Tamandua tetradactyla: one gene and its partners. The protein of the gene in region 1 interacts with the protein of each later gene in a pairwise test. Links are inferred from orthologs where the notes say so. Each region holds a gene or a part of one and is shown in the gene's direction. Other genes may lie near its edges.

Region 1 (7,626 bases):
TTAATGGACTGAATTTCCCAATCAAAAGACATAGAATGGCAGAATGGATTACGACCCAGCAATACCACTGCTAGGGATCTACTCAAAGGACTTAAGGGCAAAGACACAGACGGACATTTGCACACCAGTGTTTATAGCAGCATTATCTACAATTTCAAAGAGATGGAAACAGCCAAAATGCCCATCAACAGACGAGTGGCTAAACAAACTGTGGCGTATACCTATGATGGAATATTATACAGCTTTAAGACAGACTAAACTTATGAAGCATGTAATAACATAGATGGACCTAGAGAACATTATGCTGAGTGAGTCTAGCCAAAAACTATAGGACAAATACTGTATGGTCCCACTGATGTGAACCGATGTTCGAGAATCAGCTTGGAATATATCATTGGTAACAGAGACCAGCAGGAGTTAGAAACAGGGTAAGATAATGGGTAATTGGAGCTGAAGGGATACAGACTGTGCAACAGGACTAGATACAAAAACTCAAAAATGGACAGCACAATAATACCTAAGTGTAATGTAACTAGGTTGGAACACTGAATGAAGCTGCACCTGAAATATGGTTTTTTGTTTGTTTGTTTGTGTGTTTGTATATTTTGTTTTTGTTTTTTTCTTTTTCCTTTTTATATATATATTAGTATTATTGTTTTAATTCTCTTCTCTATATTAACATTCTATATCTTTTTCTGCTGTTTTGCTAGTTCTTTTCCTAAATCGATGCAAATGTACTAAGAAATGATGATCATACATCTATGTGATGATACTAAGAATTACTGAGTGCATGTGTAGAATGGAATGATTTCTAAATGTTGTGTTAACTTCTTTTCTTTTTTTAGATTAATAAAAAAAATTAAAAAAAAAACTTACACAATTAAAAAAAAAAATCGTGCTGTAAATGTGATATCACACATTGAAAAACTCTTACCCTTGGAACATGCATGTCACAGATCATATATTTTAAATGGTCGCATATGAACACTTAACGAATCTGAAATGTTTCAACAAGTTTTCATTCTCCTGATAGGGTTTATCTTATTCATGTCTTAATCAATTAAGAGTAGATTAATTTTAGTTTTAATCCTTGATTCATAGTGCATTGCTATCCTCAGTCCATGCAGCGCTTCCTTTATTTTATTTATATTACTTATCCATTTGTTAACTTCCCAGGTAGGGTTACTGTCCTCCAAATTAGTCTTCTATTGACCTCAGTGTTCTTATCTATTAAATAAAGAAGTTCGTTTATATGACATCTACGTTCCCTTTCAATTCTGATGCTCTGTATGTGAGATTAAGTCCTGAAATGTGTTTGGCCCAGTGCCTGGCATTGCTTAGTAAATGGTAGTTATTACAATAATTTATTATTATGATTATTAAATTTGACAAACTTTCTGAATTTAATATTCAGGAAAACTGTTTAGGATCCCCACAGCTGTGCCAACTCTTCTACTGGGCCATGAAATGTCTAGTAACATTTTTTCCCCTTGGTTGGCTCCAAACTGCCCATTACCAACTTATCATTAATACACAGAATCTCAGGTTAGAAAATATCTTAAAGGTCAATTTCCAGTAAAGCATGTAGCAAAGGCATAAATGAGGTAACTGAGGAGGCAAATTCTCCCCAGAATAATTCCCATTTGCAGAATTTCAAGATGATTCCTTGTGGAGGTTCCTCTACACTACTTCTACTAAACTGCCTGGATTTCTCTTCATTGCCTTTCACTGAAATTTTCTTTCCAAGCTGTAAGGGACCTTGGTAAAGAGGCCAAACACTAGCAGGGCCTCATTATCATGTAATATGTTGCTAAGTATAAGGCAAAGTAAAACTTGAAACTGCCTGGTTTCCTGCCAATGGCAAGTTCCAGATTGAGAGTGGAGGGTCAAATCACGCAGCAATATCGTCCAAATACAAAAAAGAAGCATTCCTGCAAGCCTTGGATTTCAGCTTCTTTTCCAATATCGGTAATGGTTTTATACTAATTAATGCTATTTTATCAGTTCCTCTTCTCTTTGGCTATTGAGGTATTTGTAATCCGGCTGCTATGATAACCAGCACAGCCAAGGTCACGAAATAAGATATCCTTTGTTGCAGCTATTGATCCTTATCTAGAAACTTCATTCTTGGCCAACAGGCTCTAAGAAACTAATGAGTTCACCTGTGCAGGTTCCAAAGCAGGGTGTGCCTGGGTGTCAGTGGGAGAGGGCCTTCACTATCGTTTAAGTTTAGGAATCACAGTCCTGAGAATGCTCTTCTAACTGAAGCAGACGATAACTGCAAAGATGACAGACAATAAAATGAATGACTCTACATTCATAAATTTGATTTGGCAGATGAAGGGGGTTCCAAATCTTCCTTGGTTAATAGAGCTGGGTTTTCCCCTTACAAATACAAGTTCGTCCAAATGGAAGAATATGCCCTTTGAGTAAGCTAAATGCTGGCCCAGGGTTTGGTTTACAAAGCGGCAAAGTGGCTTGCCCACTTCCTACTTCACTTTCCAATTCTCTCTCATGTTCAGTGCAGTGAATGGTATGTGCATGCCAAGCAGGGCATGCTCACAGAAGGCAAGAGTGTTGGTGGAACGAGAAAGAGAAAGACACCATGGAGAAAAAAATATCAATGAGTAATTTGCCATTCCTAGGAAACAGTCTCCAGGCCTCAGGAAAGCTGGTCCAGTGAGTGATTTCTCTTCACTTTATTTAGAAGTTGAAGCCCAGAGGTAACATGGCTTTCAGAGAGAAGCCTTTCATACTACCTTTGCAGTCCTAAACAATAGCAGCCCCAGAATCCTGGAGAAAACCCACAGGACTCAAGACGCAGCCTTGTGCAGTTCCTCAGAGTGGGGAGAGAAGTTGTTAAGTAGAGAGTGAATACACCCTCCCGCTCTGCTTCCCACCTGACACTTACACAAAGGCCTACAATTCGGAGGAAAGGAAGACTGACTATGGACACCAAGTTTCCAAGGTTGGAAAAGGATGGAAGGGATCTGTACAAAAGGACTGGCCAGTAGGTGACTGTGCCAAACTCTAAAGCTCAAGCATAGGGTTTATGCTTTTTCACCTATAAATGGTAGTGATAAAGATCACAATAATATTAATAAATCACATTTACTTTAGAATTAGAGAGTCTGAATTCCACTAATTCTTTTTACCTCCTCCCTCCCCCTCATTTCTCCAGTATTCAGCAAAAAGCCTATACCAAAAACAGATTTGTTGAATTACCCAATAAATGAATGAATGAAAGAATACATTCTTTCTACAAGCGATTTAGTTCTGATCCACCGCTTCTTCACCACTAATGTGCAGATAATGGTATTCCATGGCTTGTTTTGAAGATCAAATAATATAACATTTCTTATACAAGTTGTAAAATATCATAAACTATGATGCTCCAAGGTGCTAGCAGAGTTTTGAGTCTGCAAATACTTTTCAGCCAAAGGAAAAGAAAAGTGAGGCCGGAGGCAGATAAAAGATTCATTACCCAAGACTATAGGTGCGGTGGGTTAATTAATCTCCATACATTTAAAGCTAAAGAACAAAGTTATCTGGGATAGGGGGAGGAGTGGGATGGGGGAGGAGGGCGGAAGTGGGGAGGGAAATTGTTAAGGAGAGAATGAATACTTTTAAGATAGGTTAAATTATTTCTTAAGAGATAGCCTTTTTTCTTTTCACAAGAAATAGCTCTATGCTTAAAAAGGCAGAGAGGCTGTGAAGGAGAAGCAGGTTCATCCAAAATCCTTCCTGCCTTCTGCAGTACAGTGCCTGGTACAGTAAAGAAGACCTAACTTCCTCTGTGGTCCTTTTTATATTGAAGTCTTTCACTGTTACAGGACTGGGCTTAGAAAAGCTGGAAAAAGAAATCCTCATCAGACTCAGTCCAACAAATAAAGTTATTCCCTTGGCCCGACATCTCCACCTACTTTCCTACCAAATATTCATAGAAACATCCTTCTTAAATTCCACGGCTGGAATTTTACTCTCCCGTGGCGTTGCCTAGTGTCAGATGCACCGATTTCGAAAGTTAGCTGGCAACATACTTGGCTTTGGAACCACGTTGGTTTGCCTTTTGCAAGGGTCGATGCGCCTGAAGGTCTTATGTAGCAGTCTCCCTCGGGAGCAGAATGTGTAAAATAAACAGAAGCTGAAAAACCTGAAAAATTAACGAAGTGAAAAGCTCAGGTTACTTGTTCGATAATTGACACGCAAGTGACCTCCTTAAATACTTAGTTGTTTAAGGACGTTCAGAGGGAGGATGAATGAATCTTCTGGGCAATTGACGCGCACCAGCGTGTACATCTCTTTAGTCTTTCGGTATGTGGCGGTAAATTAATACAAATCCAGGAGGGAATGGGGAGAGGGAGGTAAAACCACGAACACAGAGCCCTCCTCCCAAGCCCTCTGCTGCCCGGAACCCTGGAGGTTACAGTCGGAGAACCCGACGGCGCTAGGACCTGGTTGGCGCTTGGCTGCAGCCGCTTTGGGGCGGGAGGAGGAGGGAGAAGAGGAGGGGGAGGTGGGAAAGGAGGGGTGTTAAGGGGGGCTAGGGGCGGCAGTCATTTATGCAGAGCCGGCGCTGCTGCCATTGCCGCTCGCACTCCCCGCGCACTGCTTGGAGCCCGAGGGAGCGCGAGGCAGCAAACGAGCGAGCGCGCGCTGGGAGCCGGGGCCAGCAGAGGGGGCGCCCGGCCGCTGTCTGCACCGCCCCCGCCGGCCGCCTTCACCGCCTCCGCCGCGCTCCGGGGCCCTGGGAGGAGCGGGGTCGAGTTGGAGAGTCCGTGAGTCCAGCGGAGCGAAACCCAACTGCCGGAGGGCGCCCGCCCCACTCCGCTTCCTCGCGCGCCGGAGCCCGGGAGCGCCCGCCGACCGTCCCGCTGGCCCGAGAGCTGGGAGCACAGGTCTCCGCAGCGCCAGGGATGGTCTAGGGGCCAGAGCGAGGCTCGCTGCTCTGCTCCCTGCCGGGACTCGCCGCCTCTTGCTGATCGCCCAGGGCTGCGAGTAGCGGCAGCCGGGGGGCTGCGCGCCCGGGCGGCCCAGGCCAGAGAAGTTAGTTGTGCGCGCCGTTTAGTGCGCGGAGCGAGCAAACGAGCAGGGCAACGGAAGAAGCGAGGCGCCGGGACCATGGGCTGGGGGAACCGCTGCTACTGCCCGGGACGGCTGGACCTGCTGTGCCTGCTGGCGCTGCTCGGGGGCTGCCTGCTCCCCGTGTGCAGGACGCGCGTTTACACCAACCACTGGGCGGTCAAAATCGCCGGCGGCTTCCCGGAGGCCAACCGCATCGCCAGCAAGTATGGATTCATCAATTTAGGACAGGTAATGCCGGGTTGACCCGTCCTCGGGCCCTGTAAGCTGCTTGGGGCGGGGAGACTGGTGCTTGCGAACCCCGCTTCTCGCGCCCTCGGGGTCAACCCCCTCCCCCTCTTCCAGATGTGCTGTTGCAGCTGTTGCCCTAACTCCTGGGCGATATTCTTTCTCGCTGTCACACACACACACACACAGACGCACACACACACACACAAGTTGCTGGGGTTTGTGTTTTGTTTACAAGCCACGCGGGACAGGTAGGGTCTCTGGAAAAATTTGGAGTTGTTTCAGACCCTCCCGGGACCTTTTGACCTGGAAAGTCAAAGAGCATTGGTCGCCTGAGGGAAAATCTCAGCGGGTGGGCGTCAGGGGGGGGGTGGGATAAGGTGTTTCGGGGGCCCTGGAACCGCTCCTTGTGATTTTCGAGAACAGGGAAGAGGTAGGACGGCACGGAAGGGAAAGCTTTTCCTGCTCGGACCTGAATTTCGCCCAGAAAGAAGTTTCCTCTTGGGCGAGAGAACCGCTGGTCGTAGGAGGCGCGAGGACTGGAGCTGGAAGGGAGGAGGGAGGCGGGGGTGGAAAGAGGGGGCGGGAACAGGCGTGAGCGCGGATCTGGGGAGAGACCTCCGCGCGTCCTCGCCTCCCTAGCACCCGACCCGCGTGGGGCCTCCGGACTTGGGGGATGGTGGGGATCGAAGCGGGACGTGGGAAACTTACGTGTCGGGTCGACCGGATTCTATAACGGAAAAACCACCATTCCCGGGGCGAGACGTGCGGGGCCAAGAGTCGGAGCCTTGGGGCAACAGTTGGGCCAGCAGCGGGGTGCGAGGTTTTCGTGGGGTGCCTCTCGCAGTCTGTAGGGAGAGTCGCCCTGCTGAGTAAAAAATGCTTATAAATTGAGGTGATGCAATGGGGATGATTAGAAACGGAACAGATTTGGATGTTCCGCCGGGCTAACTAGGGTTAGCGTCCTGGTTTCCTCGAGATTCCGAACCCCGAACCCCTGCTAGAAATGGTGTGGAGGGAACTGTGTAAGCGGGTTCCAGCAAGTACACCCCTCCCCCCCGCACACACTCCGTACAGCCCTCCATCGCGCTCCCCGCTGGGAATGGGAGGGGAGCATACTGAGGGGCGTCCTCGCAGCAGGCGCGCTTCTGAGACTGCTCGCGCTGCGGGAAGTAGCGGCAAGGGCTGGGGTCAGCGCCCTCGGCGCCTGGACGCGGCAGCCGCAGAGAAAAAGATGCGGACTGGTGCGGCTGAAGTAAGAGAACGCAGATGGTTTTTGATGTCATTGCTTTCCAGGCCCAGGAACGCGGGTCTTGGAGCACGGGGACCCCCTGGCAGCTCTGAGAACTCGGCACCGGGAAAGGAGATAGAGTGCCAGCGAGGCAGCTAAGGACCTGGGGAGCGTGGGTGGCGGGAGAAGTTCCGAGGAGCCTGACCGGGAGGCCGTGCTTTTTGCCCACCCAGAGGGAGGACATGTGCCAGAGGAGCAGGTCCTGTGGAGGTTTGAGAGGGCAAAGGGGCACTGTTTGAACCCTCGACCCCCACCCTCTCCCCATCAGGAAGAAAGCCAGAGAAGCCAGCTAGAGTTTGTTGCCTTGTCATCTGCGGAATCATTCCCTTCCGGTGTCTTGCTAGGGTTCTATAGCCTTCTTTTTTCCTCTGGAAGAAAACACTGAGGCTGTTCAGGTCTTTTTACCATGAGCTTACATTTGGGTGCTGCCTATGCCCAGGGAATGTAACTGAGAAGGCTATCCCTGAGAGTAGTCATGTAATCTTTTCAAAGACTCATCTCTCAGGCTCAACTAACACTGAACATCTTCCATATGCCTTGCATATTTGGAGGGATAAGTTCTTGAGCATACACATTTTGATCTTCAAAACAGCCTTGTTTGATGCATATGACTTCATTGACAGCAGATGAGAAAACCAAGACTCTTGAGAAGTTAAGTGAGCTGCCTAGGGTCACCCAGCTAGATGGTGGCCATGATTCAAACCCAGGACTATCTGGCCCAGACCCACTACCCCAAGTATCTTACCTTTTAGGGACTGTCTCCATCACTTGTGGGGAAAGAGAAATAAACTAACATTCCCATTTCCCTGAATTCTGATTTAGTGGCTTGGTAGACTGGAAGCAGGCATCTGGTCTTAATTCACAGATATTTGGTTCAAACAGATCTGAACTTAATCTAAGATGTTTCACGACGAGTAAGGACAGGAACACTTGTTTCTGAACTCACTGAATAGAGTATAGATATTACAGAATCTGGCAGAGCGAGAGGTGAGAAATTATCACCAAAACCCAACGTCTAAATATTC
Region 2 (7,283 bases), on another chromosome or scaffold:
AGAGAGCTGTCAGACTGGCTTCTCTGACGTGACTCCCAGAATGGACTTGGAGATATTTTGTGACTATTTGGGATGGTGGTCATTTCTAGCTACTGTGATTTGGGCAAATAAATTCATTATGCGTCATTGTACTCATGGGCTGAAGGGATGAGCTCATATTTAGGTTACAGGAGCAACTTATGATTTGTAAAATCGTGCCTTTTTTAATCTCCAGATAGGCCAGCAAGTTTAAGAAGAGTAGTTGAGACATTATTGTATTCACATCAAATTAAAGGAAATGAAACTAATAGATTCAGTAAAAGCATTTGACAAAATGCAACATCCATTCATGACAAAAGCTCTCAACAAACAAGGAACACAAGGGAACCTCCTCATCCAGGTAAATGTTGTCTGCAAAAAATCTTACAACTAATATCACATGTAACGGTGAGAGACCACCTGTGCCGGTTTGAAAGGAAGTATGCCCCCTAAGAAAAGCCATGTTTTGATATAAATCCCATTTCATAAAGGTAGAATAATCCCTATTCAATACTGTGTATTTGAAACTATAATGAGATCATCTCCCTGGTGATGTGATTTAGTCCAGAATGGTCGTTAAACTGGATTAGGGGATGACATGTCTCTACCCGTTTGAATGGGCCTTGATTGGTTTCCTGGAGTCCTATAAGAGAGGAAACATTTTGGAGAGAGAGATTCAGAGAGAGCAGAGAACGCTGCAGCACCACAAAGCAGAGTCCACCAGCCAGCAACAGGAGATGAAGAAGGAAAACGCCTCCCGGGGAGCTTCATGAACCAAGAAGCCAGGAGAAGAAGCTAGCAGATGATGCCATGCTCGCCATGTGCCCTTCCAGATGAGAGAGAAAGCCTGACTTGTTCGCCATGTGCCTTCTCACTTGCGAGAGAAACCCTGAACTCATCGACCTTCTTGAACCAAGGTATCTTTCCCTGGATGGATGCCTTAGATTGGACATTTCTATAGACTTGCTTTAATTGGGACATTTTCTCAGCCTTAGAACTGTAAACTAGCAACTTATTAAATTCCCCTTTTTAAAAGCCATTCCACTTCTGGTATATTGCATTCCGGTAGCTAGAAAACTAGAACAAATGGCAAATATGCAGATGAAAAGAGACTCAAAATCATTAGTCATCTAGGAAATGCAAATTAAAACAAAAATTAGGTATTACTACACATTGATTAGAAAATAAAATATAACTGAAAATGCCAAGTACTAAAAACGATGCAGAGTGACTACATGTCTCAACCTTTGCTGGTGGGATGCCCAATGGTATACCTGCTTTCAAAAACAATTTAACAGTTTCTTAAAAAGTTAAGCACACACTAAACACTTGCCCCAGAAATCCTACTCCTAGGTATTTAGCCAAGAGAAATGAAATTTCTGGTCTCAGGAAACCTGTGTAATGTCTTTATTCACAATTACCCAATTGGACACAGCCCAAATGTCCAGCCGATGGATTGTAAACACACTGTGGTCATCTGTGCAATGGGCCACTGCTCAGCAACACAGAGAAATGAGCTACTGGTACATGAGACAGCATGAATTAGTATCCAGTGCATTATTCCATGTGATAGAAGACAGACTTTAGATGCTACATTATATATTCCAGTTATAAGACATTCTGGAAAAGGCAGATTTGTGAGGACAGAAAACAGATCAGAGGTTGTACAGGGCTGGCATTGTCGGAGGGTTGAGCACAAAGAAGAACAGGAGAATATTCTGGGGTAATGGCCCTGTTCTATATTGTGATTGTAGTGTTTTCCTTATATGATTACATGTATCCATCAAAGCTCATAGAATTGTATATTTAAATGGGTAAATTTTGCTGTGTGTAAATTATGCCTCACGAAACCCTGTTTAAATCAAGAAATCTGATTTAAAGCAGAAAAAACTAAAAGGTAATGCATTTTAGGAATACATATAAATGTGATAAAAGATAGACAAAGAGAAGATAGTGGGAGGACGGCTCTTGGCAGAATTCTCGGTTGCCATGATGGAGACCCGGGTTTAAGTCTCAGTGCCTGCCCATGCAAAAAAAAACAACAACAACAAAGAGAGAAGCAAAGAATGATAAATTCATTATTCAGGAACACCGTACAGGCAGAGGAACGGGATGAGAGAGAACTACACAGATACAAGATTCTCAAAGTCCTTGTTTTCACTGAAGTGGTAGATTTTTGTGCGTCTGTTACTTAAATAATGATAAATGAATGAGTAAAGGGAGTTTGCGTGGGCTGATGAAGAGCACATCTTATGAACCAAGGATTATTGTTAATTCAAACCTTTGTGCCTGAAATCCGGTAATCAGAAAGCTAAACTGACCAAACTCCAAGAATAAATATCTTCGATTGCAGCACAGGGTACCATTTTCAGGCTTGCTCGTCTCATCTTCTCCAAGAAGGAACTCAAGTGCTCTACACATGCGATATCATGTTATGTGATATCTTGTCACACATTGCCAAGGCGAAAGGCCAAGCTTCATTTGTTTGTTTCTTTACTCATGTGTTACTAACATGCCTTGTCATAAGTCTCTCCCTGGAACTAAACCTTCCTGTCCCACCGCTGACATGTGCGCGCCTATGAAACACGAAATCCTCATTTGGGGCCAGCCAGGAATCTCCTCATTGCATCATCCCTGGTCCTCAGGATGTCAGGGCTCCCAGGACATTCTCACTGGACCTTGGTCATCTTCTGTCTTCTCAGGATCACTGAGGTCTCTGTTCTGATAGGGAAAGGGCAGGCTGTGAGGTCAGGGCAGGGGTGAGGTTACAGCACTCCATCTCAGGCAGGCAAAGATGGGAACTTCAGAATATGAGAAATGTAATCTGAGGGACTCGGGAAATGGAGGTGGCAAGAAACCAGCTGCAAGTCCATGCTCAATATGTGAGGAACAGAGAGGACTTCTTCCGACATGTTCTGACATGTTTTAAGTCACACTGACGGTGGAAGATGTATGATACCCAAAGTCTAGAAACTCAAAATCACACATCATTGGGATTGAAAAATGGGCTCTGAGAAACTGGTACCATGTGGGAAGATAATGATCCACCTCGGCAGCTGGTGTTGGACAAAGTGGTTCTGCTCCGTCCCGCCCTGTGACTCCCGCATTTCACCTTCAGGCTGAGTCACCACAGATGGAAATGTTGGTTTGGTGTCCACCCTCTCTGCTGACACTTAGCTGACACTCAGCCTGGGCGTCCCACATGAAGGGCTTGGGCAGGAATGATTTAAGTTGAGTGGATGGGAGGACGCAGACCTGGGGACGGAGTGAGGAAGGAGAGCGGCCTGAGACCAGGCCCGGTCACCAGTGAGGCCGGGAATCAGGGGCTTGCGCAGATCTGGCCTGGCCCAGGCCTCCCGAAGACCCCCTTTCCCGCAGGTCGTCCCCACCCCTGCCGCCCACCCTATAAGCCGGAGCTACTGGCAGCGCAGTGTGTTCCTACACCAGTGGTGCCTCTTCAGTCTCATCGTCCTGTTTGCTATGAAAAAAATGCCCTTTACAGTGTTTATAGGATGATTGACATTAAGCGAATGGCTTTCCCCAGTGCAGCAGGCAGGCTAAAACGGACACACGGCCAGACGGGATCCGGGGTCTTATTTGGAAGCCTGGCCTGGCTTTCCCACCATCAGAAACTCCGTTATCTCCTTCCAAGATCCTTCATGCTCCCACGTGTCTATGAAAGAAATCTTGGAAACACTGACACAAAACGAGTCAATGGTACATTGGAATGAAAAACAGAAACTGTAGACTTTACTGTTAATTTAAGATTTAAAAACAAGTAGCCAGTCCTCCAGGCTCACAGAAGATCAGAGATGTTTGCTGCCATGAGCTTGTATTTAATTTCATTTAAATATGTGACTTTTTAAGTCTCAATTTTTTTAACTTGTTGTATAGTATAACATATATACAAACCAATGACAATTAAAGTAATGTTTTTTGGTAAATAAAATCTACTGTATTTCATTATCATCACAGATTACATCTGTAAAATAACATGATTAAACTCAATGGGCAAACAATATTCCGTTTACATAAACCTTAGCTATAGTGAGGTAAATGCTACCAAATGAGCCTAATACCACTCCACCATCACTAACCTCACCGTTACCAACCGTGTAAGAAAACCATCGCCATCACTCCTCTGTGCAACTCTTCCGAGCACATGAACCACTTCCTCTGAAAGCTCCTACTCTCTCAGAGTCATAACAACATCCCACATTCACATGGATGTGGGCACAACACTATTCTTCTTTTTAAAAAATATCAGCTGTGCTTCTTGTCACCTCTACAATGGTAAATCCCCTCTGCACTTCAGCTCGGCTCTGGTCTCCACGCTCCGTGGGGACTGAAGTCCTCTTTGGAGCTTAACCATGCTGGACAGCAACGGGCTGCAAACCTACACCTCCAACCCTAAATGTCACATCCCCACGTGCCAACGACCCTGTGCAGCCACCACGCCCTGCAAACCCCAGGTGGCTCCTCCGTCCTCTGGAGAGTGGCCGGGCAATGCGGGATTCACCTCTGAAGCCTGGCTCGGAGCCTTTGTGAACACTTCTGTGGTCACAATGATCTCATCAGATCAAATGTCTCTGTTCGAGAAGGGTCCAGTTAGGTGGTGAGCTGCTCCAGGGACGACCAGGCCCCTTTCATCTCTACAGGACCACTGCTGCAAGAGCCAGGGACGGAGCTTGTGTGAGGTCATGGAAGCAGGATGAATGCATGGTCAGGTCCAGAGCAGACTTGAGGAGGAAGTGATTTGCAAGGCACAGGGACGTCCCAGTGTCACCTCATTGGGCCTCTAGGCATGTGCCCAAGAAGTACTGAGGTCAGGCAGCTGTGAGTGTTCATGCAATCATCTCCCCTGGGGTGTGCACACTCAAGCATGCTCAGCTGAGTATCGCAAACCAGCACAGGATAAAAGGGCGGCTGACCTGCACTCCTCATTCACAGCCTCCTCAGGAGCAAACTTCTCCTGCCTCCTCTGCAACTGGTAAGTGTCTAGAAGGGGACAGAACCTTGGCTGGGAGTGTTCTGGGAAGACAGGCTTAAGCCTAGAATGGAAACAGCAGAAAGAAGCACATAGCGGTCAATGGGAGAAGAGGTGGTGGAGAGGACGGAGCCCCTGGGACACATGTTAGGGGTTCTGTGACCACAAATCCACTGGACCTCAGGGATCCTTCCCATCTGGATGTGAGCATATTGTCAGGGATGTACATGGTCCATCTGATATCCATGAGGATGTTTTAGGAAAAAGCCTGTGTGCCTTCCATGTTCCCATTTCTTTCCCATGTGGGATGGCAGACGAAGGAGGAGACACTGGTCTGAAGCATCTGAGCTCACATGCGTCTCTTATTTTGTCCCAGGTCACACTCCTGCCGAGATGTCCTGCCAGCAGAGCCAGCAGCAGTGCCCGCCCCCGCCCAAGTGCCCCTCCCCCAAGTGCCCCCCAAAGAGCCCAGCGCAGTGTTTGCCTCCAGCCTCTTCGGGCTGCGGCCACAGCGCTGAGGGCGGCTGCTGCCTGAGCCCCCACAGGCCCCGCAGAGCCCACCGGTGCCGGCGCCAGAGCTCCGAAGGCTGCGACAGTGGCAGGGGAGAGTCTGGGGGACCTGGCTGTGGCCACAGCTCTGGGGGCTGCTGCTGACCTGGAAGCGCGGTGATGAGAAGCGATTTCACAGGAAACAGAGACCGAAAGCTCCAGGGACGACCCTCTCCTGCTGCCTCCTCCCCAGACGCCCTGGTGTGGCTTCCCCAGGCTGAGCTGTGGGGCTGTTCCATGGGGATCGAGCCACCCCAGAAGGCTCTTCCGTCTGACGTCCAGGACCCTCCCCTGTCCCTCAGCCCTGCCCCTGCGTGTACCTGTCAGCGCCTGGGCCAGAGCCGGTGGAGAATAAAGTTCCTTCTCATCACCACCTGTGATCACGGTCATTTCATCTGCCCTCCCACGTGGCTGAACGTGTGCCCCTCCGTCAGGACAGCATGCCCTCGAGAAGTTATAAAATCCTGGATCTAGATCAGGAAATCTAGGAGTTGTCAGTTCTTTGCATGGTGGCATTTGTGCTGTCAATGGGAAGGGCTGTGTGTTGGTTTGGAGGCATTATATACCCCAGAAAAGATGTTCTTAAATGTAATCCATCCCTGCGAGTGTAAACCTATTGTAGAAGGAATCTTGTGAGGAGGTTATGTCACCTAGATGTGACTCGCCTCGTTGTGCATTAATCCTTGCACGGTGGTCCTATATAACAGGGTAAACACACAAAGACGCTAAGAGATGAAATGAACAGGAGCTCACGGAAACACACCCAGAGAAGTTGAGAGTTGACAGTGGAAGTCATAGAGGCCAGAAGCTGAAAACAATGACCAATGAAGGGTGAGCAGACGCTGCCTGTGCTCTGTTCTCTGGTGGAGGAGCCCAAACTCGCTGGCCCCAGTGTTCAGAGGGGGCATCACGCCACTGATGCCTGAATTGGGACATTTTCACAGCCGTAGAAATGTAAACTTGAAGCTAATGAACTCCGATGTTTTTCAAAGCAAGTTCATTTCTGGTATATTGCATTTCGTCAGCTTTACCAAACCAAACAGGGTAGGCAGGAGAGTGATGGACATTTACTTTCACTTCCACATCCAAAGGCACAGACTCTCTAAATCTTTGTGATTAATTTAAAGCAACAACACTGAGAATGTTTGCGGTGAGACACACTCTGACCCGGTCAAATCCTCTCTAGCTCATCTCAGCTCCTGAGGAGGGACCACAGCTGACATGCCTGGATTGATCCCCCATGCTCCTTGTCACTCAGGATCTGGAATGTTCTTGAGTAGGTTTCCACCGTGGGACACAAAGCTCTGCACAGGGGCAGCTGGTCCAGGTAGGACCACTGAGAAGAGCTCATGGAAACCAGGAGCCAGCTGATGTCTGAGGACAGATGTGCCCGATAGAAGGATCCAGAACAACGTTTTCATTAATAGCTCTGACTAAAGGAGTGAGATACTCCTGGCATTGTTTTCTTTTTTCTTGATGTAATAGCTATCTTAAGGTTGGAGAATAGGTATTTGGGGGAGAGCAAATCTTTAATATTATAAAGTACAATAGACCATCGGTATGAGAGTTGAAATCACAGATGGACATAAGACACTGACCTACATCGATTATGATGTGTTAGTATTAATTCACTTTGCATTGCTTTCAAGAGTCCACACACTAGGGTGACTTTCTAGAAACCTGCAATATTCAGACACGTCCCTGGACCAAATAAGTCGTGAAAGGCAGA
Region 3 (7,472 bases), on another chromosome or scaffold:
GGTAAAAGTGAAGGTTAGTCACAAGGTTTTTACAATCACAAGGGCACAAGAGAAAGGCTATACAATCATTATCAGCAATCAAGGTGGCTGAATTACAGTTCAAAGATTTCAGGTCTTTCCCTCTGTCTACTCAAATATACCAGAAAGTAAAAAGGAGCACCTATATAATAATTCAGTAATTATAATCATCCCTTAAATCCTAACTTCTCAGTTACACACACATTTTAATATTTTAAAGTGTTAACTCTGGGATTTAGTCCCTGAGCTGTCTGTTCTTTACGTCTCTATCTGGTATGACAGAGTGCCAGGATCCACTGAAACAAACCAACCAAAGCAAAAGGCACATTTCATGATCTTTGGAAATTGGCTCTGCTTTGGCTGGTGGTTTCCTTCAGAGCTTAGCCCTTCTATCAAGAATATCAACCCTAGGTGAATGTGAAGTGACCAGGTCCTCTCTGTCTTATATGAACCTACTTGGAACTATGGTATCTGTTTCTTTTCCTGGGCTTGTACTTGCTTCTTGCCTTAGGAATTCCTGTGTTTACAGTAATTTAAATGCCACTTCTACTGATTTAAGTAATCCTTTGCCCAAGGCTGCTTAGAGTTATTTATTACACCATTTTAGTTGTCCACAAATTGCCTGCAGGGCAAGTTCTGGCAGGGTCAACCTGTGTCAGTCTTTCAAGCTGCCAACCCATATGCCCATTCTGGCTTACTCTTTTTCTTCCTGGGCAGGGCCAGGGACCCACAATAAGAGCACATGCTGGCTCCAAACCATGCTGGGGAGGAGGTGGGAGAGGGGCAAGCAAGGGCTCCATGATTTAGTCCTACCATTTTAAAGCTGTGTTTCATTGATTCGGTATTTACCCAGTTATTGCAATTCTTTAACTGTTTTCTGTTGTTTTGACAAAAGTGGCTCTGCCAGTTTTTTAAAGTTGTTCAAAGATTCTGTTGGGAATGGCACCCTTGGGCATCTTATACCACCATCTTGGTTGAATGGAAGCCCTCTTATTGTTTTTTGTTTATGGTAGAAACATACATCCAACATAAACTTTCACATGTTAACCATGCCCAAACATAGCCTACAGTGGGATTAATTGCATTCACAGTGTTATGCTGTCCTCACTACTATCCATTTCCGGACCATTCCCACCACTCCCAACAGAAACCCTTCACTCATTATGCACTAACTCCCCATTTTCCTCTCACCGCTACCCCTGTTAACTGTACTCTATTGTCTGTCTGTATGAATTTGCATAGTCTAGCTATTCCATGTGTTGTAGTTTGCTAGCTGCTGGAATGCAATATACCAGAAACAGATTGGCTTTTAAAAAGGGGAATTTAATAAGTTGCTAGTCTACAGTTCTAAGGCTGAGAAAATGTCCCAATTAGGACAAGTCTATAGAAATGTCCAATCAAATGCATCCAGGGAAAGATACCTTGGTTCAAGAAGGCCGATGAAGCTCAGGGTTTCTCTCTCAAGTGGAAGGCACATGGCGAACATAGTCAGAGTTACTCTCTCATCTGGAAAGGCACATGGTGAACACCGTTAGGGTTCCTCTCTCATCTGGAAGGGTACATGGTGAACATGGCGTCATCTGCTAGCTTCTTCTCCTGGCTTCCTGTTTCATGAAGCTCCCCGGGAGGCATTTTCCTTCTTCATCTCCAAAGGTCACTGGCGGGTAGACTCTGCCTCGTGGTGCTACAGCATTCTCTGCTCTCTTGAAATCTCTTTCATTCTCCAAAATGTTTCCTCTTTTATAGGACTCCAGAAACCCATCAAGACCCACCCAAATGGGCAGAGACATGTCATCAACTAATCCAGTTTAACAACCACTCTTGATTAAGTCACATCTCCATGGCGATGATCTGATTATAGTTTCAAACATCCAGTATTGAACAGGGATTATTCTATCTTTATGAAATGGGATTTTGATTAAAACATGACTTTTCTAGGGGACATACATCCTTTCAAACCAGCATACCATGTAAATGGAAAAATATAATATTTGTCCCTTTGTGTCTGACTTATTTCATTCAACATAATGTATTCGAGGTTCAACCATATTAGCATGTATTAGAACTCCATTCCTATTTAAGGCTAAATAATATTTCATTGTAAGTATGTGCCACATTTTGTTTAGTCATCCATTGATGGCCTTTTGGGTTGCTTCTACTTTCTGGCTATTGAAAAAAAATTAATTTCATTAAAAACAATAATGTTTGCATTATAAAACATAACTATTTCACAGAGTTTGAAAGTATTTGAAAGATAGAGAAAAAAAAATTCCACCATTCTGTATTTCCTTCTTGTGCTTTTTTTTTCCTTAATGCAGAGTCTTTCCTAAAAATAGGCTCGAAATCAGTAGACCCACTTATTTTCTTTTCATGGAGGTTTGGTATTATGGCATTATAATAATTAAATATTTTAAATACATGGCAAATCTCAAATATAATTTACATGAAACTACTTTAGAAAAATAGAAAAATCAGCGGAAGAAAGGTATTCATTTTACTCTTGTGTTTCCATTCTTGTTTTAAAAAATATTCATGTTTTTATAAGGTTATGATCCTAGTGTACATAGAATTTAATAGTCTGCATTTGTTTTACATTACATCACAAGCCTTTCTTCATATTTCTATATACTAGTAAGACAACATTCATAGTAACTGGAGCATCTGACAGCAACATTTAGTTTCCTAAATTCTATAGAACTGTTGAAGAAATTAAGGCAGGTGAAGGTGTGAGAAGTCAGAAACTCAGGAGTGCTACTGGTTTGCCTGCAAGTATAACGTGGAAAATGTAGAAAGAGAAGGTAGAGCTCAAGAATTCTTGCCTTCCAACTAAATGCCTGAGTCATAAAAAGAACATAGGGCATATTATCATAATCCTAAATGCTATATACACTTTTATTTTTCTTTCAATGGATGGGAAAGTGATGGAAAACTAGTGTGAAAGACATATGACATTATATGGTGTTATTATTAGAACTTTGGCCCCAAAAGTTGAGTAAATGTATTTCCCACCCGTACCCTGCACCCCTCCCCCACCCCCCAAGGGTCTTTGTTTAAAATTTAGCAAGGCAATGCAAACCCTTTCTAAAGAAAACAAGCCAAGGTCTGGTCCTGGTTTTCTGGATTCACTGATGTTTGCTGTTGGAAACAGGCTTTTACCTTTTAATTATGCTTTCACATTGACATCGATTAATTTCAGGGCACAAACTTTTTGCTTTTAAGCTTCTTTGTTCGTTTAATGTAGTCCTGCTGTATAAATACAGGAAGGAATTCAAGCCACATTTAAAAAATTATAAAATAAGGCACTCAGTGAGATAAGTGTGTTATACATATATGTATATATACAGTTCAATAATGATAAAGCAAATATAAGTGTAATCACCATCTAGGTCAAGAAATAAAAATATAACCAGAGGATATCCCTGTGCCTCTCCCCATTACAACCCTCATCTTCTTTCCTAACCACTATTCTTACCCTAACATTTGCTTTAATAAATCAGACTGTGATGTGATAATGCAGGATAATTTAAATTAACTCTACAAAAATAGAAAAAAGCCATAATTCTAGTAGACTTAGCTGTATTTCCTTCTTGTTTATCTCTTTAAACTTCAACGTTTTCAATAAATGCAAGGAAAATGAACAAGCAAACTTTTAAAGTGCTCTTTTCTCCCCTCTTTTGCTCTTCAAACTCTTCACATTCTAAAACCTATCTTGGTTCTACAATTTTCACCTGCAAAGTTTAATAATAATAATTTAAAAATCTCCACTGTAGATTTTCATTCCTCCTGCTCTCCTTTGCTTCCAACTACAAAGAAACAATGATTTAAACCCTTTGTGCCCTTTTAGAAAATTACACAGATACCCCATTGTGGAATCCTATAATCCCTTCGTGGAAAGGAAGAGATTAGCATATGAATACAAAGCAAAATGAATCCAGAATACAAAATGATCTACTGGATTGGGAAGCTCTCGTTTTCTTAAAAATATATTTATTTCCTCTTTTTGTATTGCCCCTTTAGGGTTAAAGGAATTGAGCTTCCCCTCTGGTTATCCGGAAAAGGATTTAAAAAAAAAAAAAAAAGCCAACAGATTCTAGGGTTCAAAACCAACAGATGGCTCCCAGCGCCAGTGGAATCTGCTCCATTCGACTTGGGCTTGCTTGCCGGCGAAGAGTGCAGAAAGTGCTGATAGCATACTGCGCGGTGAAAGAGAGAAAGCGACAGAAGAGAGAGCCATAGTGCTGACGTTGAAGGCCCGGCCCTGTGAGGTTGCATAGGGTAAGTGGCGTTGGCCAGGAGGCAGTGGCTAAGGGGAAGGAAAGAGGATTTGGGCTAGGGGGCGGGGCCTGTGGCGCAACCTGGTTCCTGATTGTTGGAGCGCGGCTGCCAATCTCGTAGAATCGCTCAGTTAACCAGTGCGCTGGCGAGACGCTCTCAGATATACTGAGTGAGCCCTAAGAAGCAGTCTCAGATCCTGACGGTGCAGCAGCCTGCAGCCTCAGCCAGGGAGTCCCAGCCGCTTTCAATGGAGGAGAAGCCCGGCCAGCCACAGCCTCAACACCATCACAGCCACCACCATCCGCACCATCACCCGCAGCAGCAGCAGCAGCAACAGCAGCAGCAGCAGCAGCCGCACCACCACCACCATTATTATTTCTACAACCACAGCCACAACCACCACCACCACCACCATCACCAGCAGCCTCACCAGTATCTGCAGCATGGAGCCGAGGGCAGCCCCAAGGCCCAGCCAAAGCCGCTGAAACATGAGCAGAAACACGCCCTCCAGCAACACCAGGAAACGCCGAAGAAGAAAACAGGTCTGGGAGGGAGGACGGGTGGGGGAAGGGGATTGGGGTAGGGGGCAGGGGCGATGGGGGTGGGGCTGGACCAGAAGAGCTTGGACAGTGTTGGGGTATGCATGTGTCTGTGTATGTCCTCTTGGTCTGGGGGTGCCCTTTTCATTCTCCCAAACCTTCCCCGGGCTCGGCCAGGGGAGCGGGTGTTTGCAGCGCCCTCTCCTTCCCCTCTGCACGGGAGAGGCCCAGCCAGGCCAGTGTGACCTTCCCGGCCCCCGCCCCGGCTGGAGGGGAGACCCGGAGGGTCGGCCTTAAAGGCCAGCCGTATTATTCCTTTACTATTCTCCTTGTGGCCCAGAATTGGCCTCAATTTGGGGCCATGATATGGGGTGAGTCTATCCCTCCAAAAAAAAATCATTTGGGGTGTAACTCCGGAAGGCCTAGTGAATCCCGACTCGGGTGGGTGACGCGAGACCCTTTTACAGGCGGCAAGGAGGGTCGGTGGGCAGAGTTGAAGTAATGTCCTCCGTCACCCGCCACCCCAAGCCCACCTGTGGCCTTGGGGTTCCCCGTCTGGGGGCTGGCTGGGACCCCTCGTTTCTCGGGTCTTTTCTACCCCAAACACCTCTTTGGGGTACGAGAGCCTGCGGTCTCTGTCCGAGGCTCCTCCCGGGGCCGGCGCCCCGGGCCCGCTCCCCCCAGAGCCGGCGCGGCTGGAATGTTCTCTCCTCCTCGCGGGGCCGCTTCCTGTCCGCCATGTTGGAAGCCGATTCCTGTCACCGACTCCGGCCCACTGAGGAGCGGAGGGAAGGGTTTCGAGGGGTGCCCGGCGCGGCGGAGCCGGGTGACCCGGGAACCCCGCCTGCAGTCGCCGTTTTCTCCCCGCTACGGGGGAGACCCCGGCCCGTGGCCGCCCCTCCCCCCGTGGCCGGTCCGGGTTGTGTAACCCGGTGGCGGCCGCGCGGCCCCGGGCGGGTCCCTGGGGTGAGGGGCGGGGGCGGTTGAGGTGGGGGAGGGAAGCGGCCACGAGGGGAGCGGCCTGTGCCCGGCTCCGCGCGCCGGCGACCGCGTTTCCCGCTCCCGGGTGCGGCGGGAGGCGCGGGTGGTCAGGGCGGGGAGCCGGCCTCCAGGCGGAGCCGAGAGGGGAAAGAGGAGGCCGCGGTTGGCGGCCGCGGCTTTTGCCGGGGCTGGAGGGTTGGAGGGCTGGCGTGGGGGTGCGGGGGGGATACGTTTTGACTAGAGGCGGCGCCTGAAGGCCGGGTGGGGTACCCAGCGGGAACCGAGCTCCCCGGTCACGAGTTTTTCTCTGCCACTGGAACCTCATCTCCTGCCAGGTTCGCTCACGACTCCGCCTCTGAGGCTTTCGCTTGGGTCTTTGCCTTCCAGCAGCTCGTTTTCAACACAGAAAACAGCTTTTCTCTTTCCGCGCCCCTTGTCGCCCTCCCAACACAACCTCATGGGCTTGGATAGTGTCTTTTTCAGGAGAGGGACTAAACATGTTAGTTGGACCGGGCAGAGGGCGAATTATTATTATTTTTTTTAACCTCGTCTTTAAAGATGAACCTAGGTGGCTCAACCATGAGGTTGGGTCACTACCTTATTGCCTTACATGAGGCTTTTTTGCATTTTGAAATCTGTATTGATCCCAGATTTCTCATTTTTGATAAACATTAAATGGTGAGATGTGAAGAAATGAACTTAAAAGTATACACCCTCGCAAATTTTTTAAAAATAAGAGTTTATAAATTGATGAGAAGTGAGAGAATGATAACGAGTGAATATTAAACCCAGCAGATCAAGTTTGATGCAAGTAGCTATCAAGAGCTGGAGAAAAACTGCTTTTCTTTCGCAGGCTTAATGTACTAGAAGATTGTACTTAGAATATCAGATTTTCCATTTTGTGGGGTGTGTTAAGGACTGGTGAGTTCTTAGGCAGAAAAAATGGTCACATAAATATGTTAAGAATATTTAATCCTAAGGATAGGAAACAGTTTTAAACTTACAGGAACCACATAACACTAAATCTTGTTCAATTTAAAGATGAGAAACCTTACCTTATTAAAGTTGCTTGGAGTGTGTTGTCACTCTTATTGGTCAGGTTGAGTAGTCCTTGCAGGACTCCTTTCTTCATAGAGAAGCGACCCGGAAATAGTATGTTTTATCCTGGAAGGGAATAAAGAGGGAAAAGTGGGTTTGCAGTTTTGAAAAAATTTAAACCATTTGGAATGAGCAGCTTTTCATGTGTGGTGAAGTCACAGTGCATTTGCATTGATATACATGATGCTAATTTACTAGAAAAAGTTGGGGGGAAAAGTAAATACCTGTAATATGTTGAAGTGGGCTTTTGTGACCTATTACCCACAAATCTATAAAGAACAGTTTTTTCAGTCCAGAAGAGGGCGCAAGAGAGGGTAATTGTGTTGAGTAATTTCGGTTTCTAATCTAAAAGCAAGATTGATTTATCAGGACTGAAGTTTTGCTGAGTCCATTTGAAGTGGAGTTAGATGGTTCAGCATGGCAGCCGGCAGCCTTGAATAATGAAAGCACTGAGAGTTATTTAATATCTTTCAGTTAATCTATAGTGTCTACATTTTCCTTAAATACCTAAATGTTCACCCTTAGTTTATAATACTCAGTTTAAAAACAATTTTAAAATAA

The links.
Region 2: the proteins of PCSK5 (region 1) and late cornified envelope protein 3C-like interact in binary tests that used the Homo sapiens proteins (3 or more experiments, as listed by UniProt). The two-hybrid records come from large-scale screens. The link is inferred for Tamandua tetradactyla from reciprocal best matches to the Homo sapiens genes PCSK5 and LCE3C.
Region 3: the proteins of PCSK5 (region 1) and NUFIP2 interact in binary tests that used the Homo sapiens proteins (3 or more experiments, as listed by UniProt). The two-hybrid records come from large-scale screens. The link is inferred for Tamandua tetradactyla from reciprocal best matches to the Homo sapiens genes PCSK5 and NUFIP2.

What each region holds. Positions count from the first base shown.
Region 1 is NC_135328.1:106,313,743-106,321,368, forward strand, and holds the start of PCSK5 (proprotein convertase subtilisin/kexin type 5), read left to right. Parts: upstream 1-4,624; 5' UTR 4,625-5,121; coding exon 5,122-5,313; intron 5,314-7,626. UniProt on the Homo sapiens protein: Serine endoprotease that processes various proproteins by cleavage at paired basic amino acids, recognizing the RXXX[KR]R consensus motif. Likely functions in the constitutive and regulated secretory pathways.
Region 2 is NC_135330.1:2,606,236-2,613,518, reverse strand, and holds late cornified envelope protein 3C-like, read left to right. Parts: upstream 1-4,922; 5' UTR 4,923-5,008; intron 5,009-5,381; 5' UTR 5,382-5,398; coding exon 5,399-5,659; 3' UTR 5,660-6,721; downstream 6,722-7,283. UniProt on the Homo sapiens protein: A structural component of the cornified envelope of the stratum corneum involved in innate cutaneous host defense.
Region 3 is NC_135332.1:52,447,413-52,454,884, reverse strand, and holds the start of NUFIP2 (FMR1-interacting protein NUFIP2), read left to right. Parts: upstream 1-4,410; 5' UTR 4,411-4,540; coding exon 4,541-4,835; exon of another isoform or gene 4,836-4,885; intron 4,886-6,019; exon of another isoform or gene 6,020-6,734; intron 6,735-7,472. UniProt on the Homo sapiens protein: Binds RNA.